2 linked regions of the Arabidopsis thaliana genome follow. The protein of the gene in region 2 interacts with the protein of the main gene of each other region in a pairwise test. Each region holds a gene or a part of one and is shown on either strand. Other genes may lie near its edges.

The links.
Region 1: the proteins of PUB9 (region 2) and RK1 interact in a two-hybrid assay, tested with the Arabidopsis thaliana proteins (one study listed by BioGRID).

The regions. Positions count from the first base shown.
Region 1 is NC_003070.9:24,466,929-24,473,170, reverse strand, and holds RK1 (receptor kinase 1), read right to left. Parts: upstream 4,390-6,242; 5' UTR 4,240-4,389; coding exon 2,961-4,239; intron 2,550-2,960; coding exon 2,415-2,549; intron 2,312-2,414; coding exon 2,121-2,311; intron 2,045-2,120; coding exon 1,834-2,044; coding exon of another isoform or gene 1,829-1,833; exon of another isoform or gene 1,749-1,828; coding exon 1,511-1,748; intron 1,408-1,510; coding exon 1,257-1,407; intron 1,169-1,256; coding exon 842-1,168; 3' UTR 699-841; downstream 1-698. Other genes in the region: RK2 (receptor kinase 2), read right to left, coding at 1-5. UniProt on the Arabidopsis thaliana protein: Involved in the regulation of cellular expansion and differentiation. Mediates subcellular relocalization of PUB9 from nucleus to plasma membrane in a protein-phosphorylation-dependent manner.
Region 2 is NC_003074.8:2,352,336-2,357,371, forward strand, and holds PUB9 (plant U-box 9), read left to right. Parts: upstream 1-2,304; 5' UTR 2,305-2,548; coding exon 2,549-2,839; exon of another isoform or gene 2,840-3,186; coding exon 3,187-4,278; 3' UTR 4,279-4,530; downstream 4,531-5,036. UniProt on the Arabidopsis thaliana protein: Functions as an E3 ubiquitin ligase. May be involved in the abscisic acid-mediated signaling pathway, at least during germination.

The DNA.
Region 1 (6,242 bases), on a different chromosome or scaffold from region 2:
CTCATCTCTCTCTCTCTCTCTAGCTAGGACACTTTCTTGTGTTCTGTTTTATTTTCTTCTTATGAAAATTTTATGTACATATAATTGAGAATTTTTATCTTCGGAGATTACGACATGTTTGGTGTTGAAATGTGTGAACGTCATTTACACGATTTCTCTCTATTGTTGATAATATTTCATTTTCAGCTACATTTTCTTGGTCTTCTTGTTCGCTTTTGAAATATCTATAGACTATGTCACTATAGAATTGAGTCAATGACCTTAAAAGTCGTTAAATTGATAATTATGGTTTTGTAATTTCCTAGTAACTGACTTTTCTTCGTTTACTCCAAAAAAATAATATCCTCAACCATTTGTGTGTGTGTGTACGAGAATAGACAAAATTTCAATGTTGCTGGCGACATACTAAATGTTATATGCAAGAGAATGCTTCACCGATGAATTCATAAAAGTTTAAGGTATATATTCGATTTGTTTCATAAAGTCCTCTGTTGTAATAGCCATAAAGTCCTATGTTCGCTTCCAGTATTGGTCTATTATCAGTAGTATGTACAAAAAGTGAATATTAATCATTACTGAATTCCCACTTAATTGAGTTTCGGTCTCAAACTTCAAATCTTGGAGTGACAACTCCAAATCTTGCATTTTTTTGTCTTTGTCTAAATGTTTTTTTTTTATAATTCTCGCTCTAAATCAAAATCATGTGAAACATGTGGTGAATCTTTTGTCTAAATTAAATTAGATAGAGCAAGATATCGAATCATATATGTAGTAATAAAATCTATTTAGACTTACCTATAAAATGATATGCATGTAAACAGATTGGGCCGTAAGTTACAAATTACCGAGCGTCAATGACCGAGAGAGTGATTTGGTTCACTGTACATTCATCGTCGCGCTGTGTACTTGAAGAAGAATCAGCCTCAAGAGGACTTCTACCAATGCAAAATCCAGGACGTTTAGGCTGAGGAATAGCGGTAGTTTCGCTTCCAAGCATCACCATTACCGAGGACATCACTGGTCTGTCTTCGGCTCGTTCTTGAACACACAAGAGACCAATTTGTATACATCTTAAGATTTCATGTGTCGGGAACTTTGATGACAAAGAATCGATGTTGATCGGATCTACAATCTCTAGCTCGTTTCCTTCCTTCCAATGCCTCCACACCTGTGCATAAAGGATGTAATATTTCTTTAGTGTTATAATCAGATTATGAATGCAAAACAATATCGAATTGAAGAGGTTTTTAGCTTACAAAACCGAGGAGATTAAGATCACGGTTTGAGTTGTAGAATCCTTTGTTTCTTTTTCCACTTATAATCTCTAGAAGCAAGACCCCAAAGCTGAAAACATCCGACTTCATCGAGAATATCCCGTCCATTGCATATTCTGGAGACATGTAGCCGCTGCATAACAAAATATAAACTCATATGTTATGAGGTTTTTAAGAAAATATTTGGACTTGAGATAAAAGCTCTTTTTTTGTTTTGTTGAAGAATGATTGCTTACTAAGTTCCGACCACCCTCCTTGTATTAGCCTCTGTCTCCTCCCGTCCAAAGATCCTCGCCATACCGAAATCCGAGATCTTTGGAGTCATATTTTTATCAAGCAATACGTTACTTGCTTTCAAGTCTCTATGGATAATCCTACACCGTGAATCTTGGTGAAGATATAGAAGTCCTCTAGCAATACCATTGATAATATCAAATCTCTTTTGCCAATTTAAGTTAGAGCTTCGTGTTTGGTCTACACATCCAACACAACCAACAACAAGTTAACGTTTTCACAAAAATGTTCAATTATTAGAACAGAAGCTGTTTGAGTCACTAACCAAAGAGATGCGAGTCAAGGCTTAAATTCTCCAAGTACTCATAGATCAACATCTTCTCACCCTTATCGACGCAACAACCTAGAAGCCGGACAAGGTTTATGTGCTGAAGCTTTGCAATTAATCTAACCTCGTTCATGAACTCATCGGTCCCTTGTGAGGACATTTTCGATAGTCTCTTTACCGCAATTTCTTTTCCGTCAAGTAATCTTCCCTATTACCACACATGTGATTATACAATGAAACCATGTGCTGTGGTAGATTTTCAATATGTTTTGAATCACTTTTACCTTGTAAACAATTCCGAATCCACCTTGTCCAAGCTTGTTGTCGTTAGAAAAATTGTTTGTTGCCGTGGCAAGAGCTTCCAACTCCAACAATGGAAGCTCTAGGTACTCACTTTTTTTTTCTTTGGATGTGTAACCCCTCCTAGATACTACCACATCGTTGATTAGCGAGTCTTGGCTTCTCACTTGATCAACTGTTTCATTCAGGCGTTAAAAAAAAAAAAAACAATCAAGACATTTGATTATCAAAATTTATTGACAAAAATAAAGGAAATGAAAGCTAATGATTTATTTTACCATTAGGTGTTTGAATTGTTATTGATCGCTTCTGCTTCCTTTTCCAAAAATGGAAGATGACAAAACTTAAAAGAAGCAAAATGCTCACTCCAATACTCGAACCTATAATTTTTTCATTTTTGATTCTCTTGTCCTCTGCAATAAAAACGAGGCATATATTTACTTCTATACGAAAAATATCCTTTGTTGTACGTTTGATTAAAAAAAATTAATACGAAAAATAAACAAAATAATTAATTTAACTTAAACAAAAATTCTTTTTGGTATAATGGTATTGGATCTAGCTAAACTCTTATTAATCTTTTGATCTCTAATTAAAAACAGATGACAAAAAAAAAAAACTAAACAAATTGACCAAACATCAAGAATGTACTTTGTTGACCAAAGCCTCTATAGATTAGGGAGTTTGAACTTTGCTTCGAGAGGGACAATATTACATGACTTGGTCCGCAGATTGGGAAGATATATTGACTTTGGGTCATAACTTTTTAATCAAAACAAAAAGTAAGAACCACTTTAGTAAATGCAAATAAGAAAGAAACTAACCGAGTTCAGCAGCGGCTAGTCTAACGTAAAGATCCTGACCTCCCTTAGCATAATTTCGCATATCCAAAATCTCTCTGGTCCAAATCACACAACCAGACCCGCCATTGCGAATATCCGCATTAGCGAACGCAGTGCAATTACAATCTTCTAGACACCTTTCTTTACATACTTTCAACCCAATTTCTCTGTCCACAATTGTCGCCGTGGTATCTGGCAATTTCATCCTCTTCAACCGGGTAAAACCATCTCTACCGTCACAGCTCAGCCTCGTCTTCCTCATGCAACCAGCGGAGCCATCTCTCAAGTCCCACGCTTGCTCATTCACTGGCTTAAACCCTTTGATACAATAACAATTTGGTAAACTGTTCGAGTCGCAATAACCGAAATTCCCGCACACTTTGTAGTTATCGCATAGGTCCTTCGGTGAGTACCATAGTTGCTTCCAACTCTGTGTTGTCTCAAACCAAGTCAATCGTTGTAATAAACCCGCAGAGTTTAAGTATAATCTCGAGTATAAGTTTGTTTTGTTGATTCGGTATGAGTAAGTCACTTCCTCCTTACTTGCTGTGAAATTGTAAACCATGTAATCAACTTGAATTGTCCCTGGTACGCTGCTAAAACGCATTCCATTCCATGGACCGCTGCGGTATAGTATCGACTCCTTGCTGCATATGTAAAACTCAGGGAACTCGCTGGTTTCGAGTTTTGTCGAAAACTCACCGCTTGATGGATCATCTGTTGTTTTCCAGGATCTCAAGATCCTGTTGAATCCGGTTTTCTGATCCCATCCCAATTTCATCTCCGCAAGTAAAGTATCTGTCGGAAAATCGAAACTCTGCCATAGAAGTCTGTTATTGGAGTCTCTGAGCAAGAAATTACCGTTATCAAGAAGCTCTGCAGCCACTGGTGATCTCACATCTCCTCCGGTTATATTCGTCGACCAAACAGGCCTATCGGACTGATCGAAAATGACGAGGTTATTGCCGGATATTTTGAGAGTTCCGTTGGAGCTAGAGAGAGGATTGTCTCTGTTTGCAACCCATACGTAGGTTCTTATAGGGATTATCTTGTACCATATGCCGAGATACCAACGCGAACTTGATGCGGGATTGAAGAAACCGAGCTCGAAGATTTGACTAGGAGATATAATGGTTTTGTTGCTTGAGATAGTGAGAGATTCTGTGGCTGAAAGAGTGTTTGGAGAAACAGAGAAAGCAAGAAACAGAATTAAAATGAGGAAAATGAAGAAAGAATGGTGGTAGTTTGGTACACTTCTCATCTCTCTCTAGGACAGTTTCTCGTGTTCTGTTTTCTTTCTTCTTGAGGGAATTTTATGAGAATTTGAGAATTTTTATCTTCGGAGATTCATATTATTGTTGATGTGTGCCGTTATTTACACGATTACTCTGTATATTACATTGTTGATGATATTTCATTTTCGGCTGTCTTTTCTTGGTTTTCTTGGTTTTCTTGGTCTTCTTGTTCGCATTTGAAATATCTATAGACTCTGTCACTATAGAGTTGACCTAGCAAATGACAAGAAAATAACTCGTTAGATAGACATTTACTTATCAGTGTTTTTGTAATTTTCTTAGTAACTGACCTTTCTTCGTTTACGCAAAAAAGAAACAAATCTCGTCAACACTCCTTATTTGTGTGTGTGTGTGGCCAGGCCTATGCGTGTCTCAGAGAGATATAAAACTAATTTGTGTTTTTCTCGTTATAAATAATCTTTTTTTTTTGGTTTTCTTTCCTTTCCTACGAATATCAATTCATGAAAGAAATTAACTTACACCACCAAGCTTCAACTATTTCATTCGCTAGACAAGTAAATCATTAACCTTAGACTACAAAATGACATTTGTTTGGCAGAGCTTCGTATTCGTAGTGCTGTGTGTACTGGCCATCGCATCATGACCGGTTCAATTCTATCATGGGTTCTAGAACAAAATTGTTTTTTGGCTGCCCTTATAAATTTCTTTTAAAGATTTTACATTATTTAAAAAAAATTGTATGACAGTTCTAATAAAATTTAGTTATTAAAAACAAAAGCAATACACAAAATATTTATGGGCCCTTCTGTTTTATTATTTATAAAATTTAGTTATAAAATTTATTATTTATTACAAATAATGAGACTTGTTACATAAACGATTTTACAACGTACAATTCCTTTAAAGTCACCAAAATATTGTCAATAAATATTAGGTGCAATCATAGGTTGTTGTTATTCTTGATTTGTTTTGTATGATTCTTACTTGTTCAGATCGTATAAACTCATCAATACCACTTGAAGGAGTTATCAATATTTTATTTCCATGCTTTATATTTTTAGAACTTTATCTTTTTATTTTTGCATAGAATTGAGCCATCTCATAACATTTGCTCTTAATTGATGCACTCTCTCTTTAAATGAATCAAGAAATTGTTAACTGCTATATTACCTTCAACATTTTTTTCTAATTCATATATAATTTTGTATTATTGTGTAAAATTTTGTCTTTATAATATTATTTGACATAGATTTTATTTTATGAAAATTTTGTCAATACAAATAATTATTATTAATGTTGAAGACTATGCAAATGCAAAAAAAAATAGAAATAGATTTTAGAATATACTAAATTCTATTGCTTTCTTCTTCTCTAGCTTCTCTCTAAAACATCCACGAACACATCCTCTTTTTTTAAATTAACATTATTGTCATAGCCTTATAGGACTATCTAGTCATGTTTAGCTTATGGCGTAGATAGGCTAGATTGCGAAAGCGTGTAAACCGGTTAAATACGAAACGTAATTACTTTACATAGTAGACCCGTAAGTAAACAAATAACTCAAGAAAGCCCCAAAATTTTACCATTTTAGTTAATTACTTCTTCTCCTCCTTTCCCTCCAAATCCTTACTCATCCATGTCCTTCTAAAAGAAACCTCTGTTCCTGTCTCCCAAAACCAAACCCTTCTTCGTCTCGAAGTAATCAAACTCTGACAACAACAACTCGAATTCAAAGTAAGCGGCTAAAATTTCATTGCATCATCTTCAAATTTCGTTGCCACACGCTCTAATGTTCAAGCCAACGTTAGAATTTAGGGTTTTTCATTGCGAATCTCAAAATCCTAAGACGTTGTTTACCAAAAAGAACAAAGAAGAAAAAACCTTACTTTACCTTTCAATGATCAATGGTTCTCGTAAAAATAGTTCCTTTTGCTTCTCTGTTATAGCCAAAAGTGTAAAGTTCGTACCTTTGAGGGTTCACTTGTTTAATGGGTTTTGTTGCGTTAAT
Region 2 (5,036 bases):
GTTTTTTTCAAAAAAGAAAAGAATATCAACATTCCGCCGACAAAACAATAGGGCGAGAGGAAGTGGAGAAGTTTGAGAATTCAAACACATACATATATAACATCAAGGATATTTCGCTATAAAAAACACTAAAAATATCCCAAGCATAAATATATAATATGTCCAGTTTAGTGTCCACATATATGTTTTATGTTAATATATTTTGACAATTTGACATTTCTTTTTAATGTTAACGTACACCACACCTTACATGCCAACAACTCATAATTTCATGAATTTTCTCTGTGTAATTTCATCTGTAGATTACCAAACTCACTGCATTGTGAAGAAAATAACAAAGATTCATCAATTTTCTCTTGAATTTAACCTTGTACCAAAAAAAAAAATATTTTCTTTCAGAAGATTCAGTTTGTTTTTTTCAAACTTTTGGAAATGACATGTTCAAGATAAGAGTGTTATTATCACACAATCAAAACTTAAAGGAAAAAAAAACAGAAACAAAGATAATAATTTGAGAAAGCAGAGATGTCTAGCAAGCAGAGAAAAAAAACGACAGTTCGAAGATAACGAGGGCATTAGAAAGGGACACGTGGGTTAGAGGGTGGTCCTACGTAAACTGATTTTTTATCAGCAGTCCAGCTTGGCACTTGTGAGATTCTCTTCTGTGTTTGCAGATGAGTGGTGCCCACTTCTCAGAAATAATAGATATTATTCATACACGTGTCTATTTCAAAATGCCACTCAATAATAGTTGGTCTACTAACAACTTCAAATTTGAGAATTGAGTTGACACTATTCTAACCTCAACACTTTGTATCGTTGTATATGAACATCGATCACCCACTCTTATGGATGGTGGTTAAATAAACCGAAGTACAATAGTATTTTTTTTTATAAAAAAAATCCATACAAATTTAAACAAATTCAATAAATGTACTAATAATTTTAGTTTGAAGTTCTAACAATTAACAATGTAGACAAAGTGCCAAGACAAATTCCGTGGCCAATATATATAACTTGGTTTAGTTAAAACATTTGTTGGAATTAAAACATATTTTCAAAATTTCATGTTTTGGTGGAAGAAGTCGTTTTCACCTTTTAAATTTGTTTCAGACATGGAGTGATGTGTCATCTTGTTTAATATTATTGTCTACAGAATGTTACTAAAAGGTGAAAACCAAATCTTGATAAAGAAGTTAATTATAAAACAAAATCTTCCGGTTACATTTTTTTGGTTTTTTTGAATGTTATAGATTTGGTCAACTCTCTTAATTCATCCAATCACGCGTCGAAAGCTATAATAACACTTGGTTGCTTTTTTTTTTTTAATACAATTTTGTTTTTAAAACGTTTAGAACAAAAATAAAAAGAAGAAAAAGAAAGAGTGAAAAACGGCAGGGGTAAAAACGTCAAAGAAGAAATAGAGAGAGAGAGTGAAGAGGAGTACAACAGAATCCACGCGGAAAGACAGCTGTTCCCATGTTGGAATAACTGTGCGGGTCCCACTTTCATTACACTCACTCCTCTCGCACATCTTCTAATTTTCGCCGCCGTTACCGTCTTTGGAATTTTTTTTGGTTTACCACACTAATGTTACATTTTTCGTTAGAGATGATTTTGTTTTTTGATTACAACCTCCTACGACGTTTGAGTTATTGAGATTACTTTTATAAATTTCCTTACTCTGTTTCTTTGGGTCAACAATTCAAACAATGATGGTAATGGAGTGATCAATTGACAAAAAAAAAACACGAATCAAACAATGATCGATTATATAAAGCTGTTATGGTCTAATAACTGAATAATAAAATCATCATAAGTAAGGAACCAAATTCGAATACTCGCAATAAACCAATAATAGTAATTTAGTGGATAAAATAATAGTTATGGGTTCGGTGTCTTAAAGATTTGAGTTTGATCATCGTAATTCGTAAACCTTTGAAACATTTTCTGTTTTTTTCACAAACTTTTGGGAATATTTGTTTTGGCTTGACAAACTCTCCAAATAGCTCTTTCGTCGTTTAAAATCTCTTAGTTACAAAACAATGTATTGAGGTTTCGAACTCCCAAAACCAAACACAAGGGAAAGATGAAAACCATTAGGCCGATCAATTACTATTAAGTTATAACTAGCTAAATTACCAATAACGTGTATGGATTTATACCCAAAAAAATAAGTAAACGTGTATGAGTCTACGAGACAAATCGTGTCGGCTGTATTTTGACACCTTAGTCGCGAGGTAGGTCATACGTGCTGCATTATTAAATTCTTAATTTTGGTCGAATTAATTAGTAAATACTCCTAAATAATGACGTGGCAAATTCGGTGCAGGCCACAATTCTATTATAGTGAAGCACTAGAGTACAACAACAACACTTGTGCCTCTTCTTCTCTCTTCCTCATATTTATTACTCTCTCTTTCACAAACACACAGAAAATAAATAAATAAAATTAATTAATGTGAGAAAATCAATTCAAAAATTTGGACATACGTATCATCTGAGAGAAGAAGGGTTTGGTGAATACCGGCGGGTGGAACCGACGGCGATGGCGAAGACCGGTGTTTTCGATTCGGATCCGACGGCGATTGCTAAAGCCAAGGAACTGAAGCGTGAGATGAAGAAGTTGCTGATTAAGATCGATGACGAAGATGATTTGGGTGTTCAGACGATTGATCAGTTACAGGACGCTTTGTCTGCGTTGAGAGAAGCGACGATGAGGAAGATGGCGAAATCTTCCTCGTTAGAGATGCTCGAGACTGTGTCTTGTCCTGAGGAGTTTCGTTGTCCTCTCTCTAATGAGCTTATGAGGGATCCCGTCGTTTTGGCTTCTGGTCAGGTTTGTGAACGTCGCATTTCGATTCAATTCTTCTTCTTCTAGGGTTTTGAATTTTGCTGTTTCTGTGTTAGGTGACTGAAAATTTTGGATTTTTGGGGGAATTTTGATTGGCTTGAAACTTTTTCATCTGTTTTCTCGACCCGACTGAGAGAATCCGACTCAGGTTTCATAAAGTTCTTGTTTTGTCGGTAGTTTCGGTAATGATTTTCGAAACGATGAAATCTGGAGATTTTATCATGTAAATGAAAAAAGTGATTTTTAGAGGATAATTATGTGTTCCTTAGCTTGTTTAATAAATCTGGAAAGCATATAACTAAAAATTTATATATTTGTGTGTGATTTTGCAGACATACGACAAGTTATTTATCCAGAAATGGTTGAGCTCAGGGAACAGAACATGTCCCAAGACTCAGCAAGTTCTGCCTCACACGGCTTTAACACCTAATCTCTTAATCCGTGAAATGATCTCGAAATGGTGCAAGAAGAACGGGCTTGAGACGAAGAGCCAATATCATCCCAACCTTGTAAATGAAGATGAAACTGTGACAAGATCAGATCGTGAGATTTTCAATTCCTTGCTCTGTAAAGTCTCTTCTTCGAACCTTCAAGATCAAAAATCAGCTGCCAAGGAGCTAAGACTTCTGACCAGGAAAGGCACTGAGTTCCGAGCTCTTTTTGGCGAATCTCCGGATGAGATCACCAGGTTGGTGAATCCCTTGTTACACGGGTCAAACCCAGATGAGAAGCTTCAAGAAGATGTGGTTACAACATTGTTGAACATATCAATACATGATGACAGCAACAAGAAGCTCGTCTGCGAAAATCCTAATGTGATTCCTCTCCTTATCGATGCATTGAGGCGTGGAACAGTCGCCACGAGAAGCAATGCAGCTGCAGCGATCTTCACTCTGTCAGCTCTCGATTCAAACAAAGTACTTATAGGGAAGTCCGGAATCCTGAAACCGCTTATCGATCTCCTAGAAGAAGGGAATCCATTAGCTATCAAAGACGTAGCTGCAGCGATCTTCACTCTTTGTATAGCCCATGAGAACAGGAGTAGAGCTGTGAGAGACGGAGCTGTTAGGGTTTTAGGTAAGAAAATCTCGAATGGGTTGTACGTTGATGAGCTTTTAGCTATATTGGCAATGCTTGTTACTCACTGGAAGGCTGTGGAGGAATTGGGTGAGCTCGGTGGGGTTTCATGGTTGCTGAAGATAACTCGAGAGAGCGAGTGCAAGCGAAACAAAGAGAATGCGATAGTGATACTGCATACTATATGTTTCAGCGACAGGACAAAGTGGAAGGAGATCAAAGAAGAGGAGAATGCTCATGGAACGATAACAAAGCTTTCGCGTGAAGGAACTTCAAGGGCGCAGAGGAAAGCAAACGGGATATTGGACAGACTGAGAAAAGCTATGAATCTCACTCATACAGCCTGAGAAAAGCCTTGAAATCTGCAATGTAAATTACCTAAAATCTTGTTTCTTTTTTTTACTTTATTTGGCTGTAAGAATTTTTGTAAATTATTCATATCTTTAGGATCTGAATGGTTATTGGTTTTCGTATGTGAGATGTAAGTAGAAATCTGTGTGAATAGTTTTTGCGTTTGATGTTTCTGGAGAAATCAATCAATAAAATCAATGTTGGTGGCTTTATTCAGCTGTGAAAGCCTTGGTCAACAAGTAACAGTGTGTAGCTTTTCGTCTGTTTCTGTGTATAAATAAGTAGATTATTAAAAATACATAGAAAGGCTGTCATGTCGTGTTCCTCACATCACTGATAAACCACAAAGCAAATCAATCTAATTCCACTCTCTCTGGAAAAAGAGTTTATTACAGAGTCACGAGTTTTCCATTGATGTGATTTTTTCTCTATGTAATGTAACGTGACGATGTGATTCCTATTGTCGTGTTAGAAAAAAACAGTACTTTTAAGTTTATTTATATATAAATAAATACTCATCAAAGCTTATAAATAAATTTCGACTATCACTGATGAATTATAAGTTTTGTTAGAAAACATAACGGAGTAGTTTTGTAATATATTTCTAAAAAATGTTCTAGACAAGGCAAGAAGCATGTAAGTAATGATAAAAATCACATGTATTTGGTTGGTTGGATTGCTTGGAAGTTAGAATTGAATCACGAAATTGCTAAAACTCGTGATTCGTAATAATTACAGGTCAACATATCGTGAG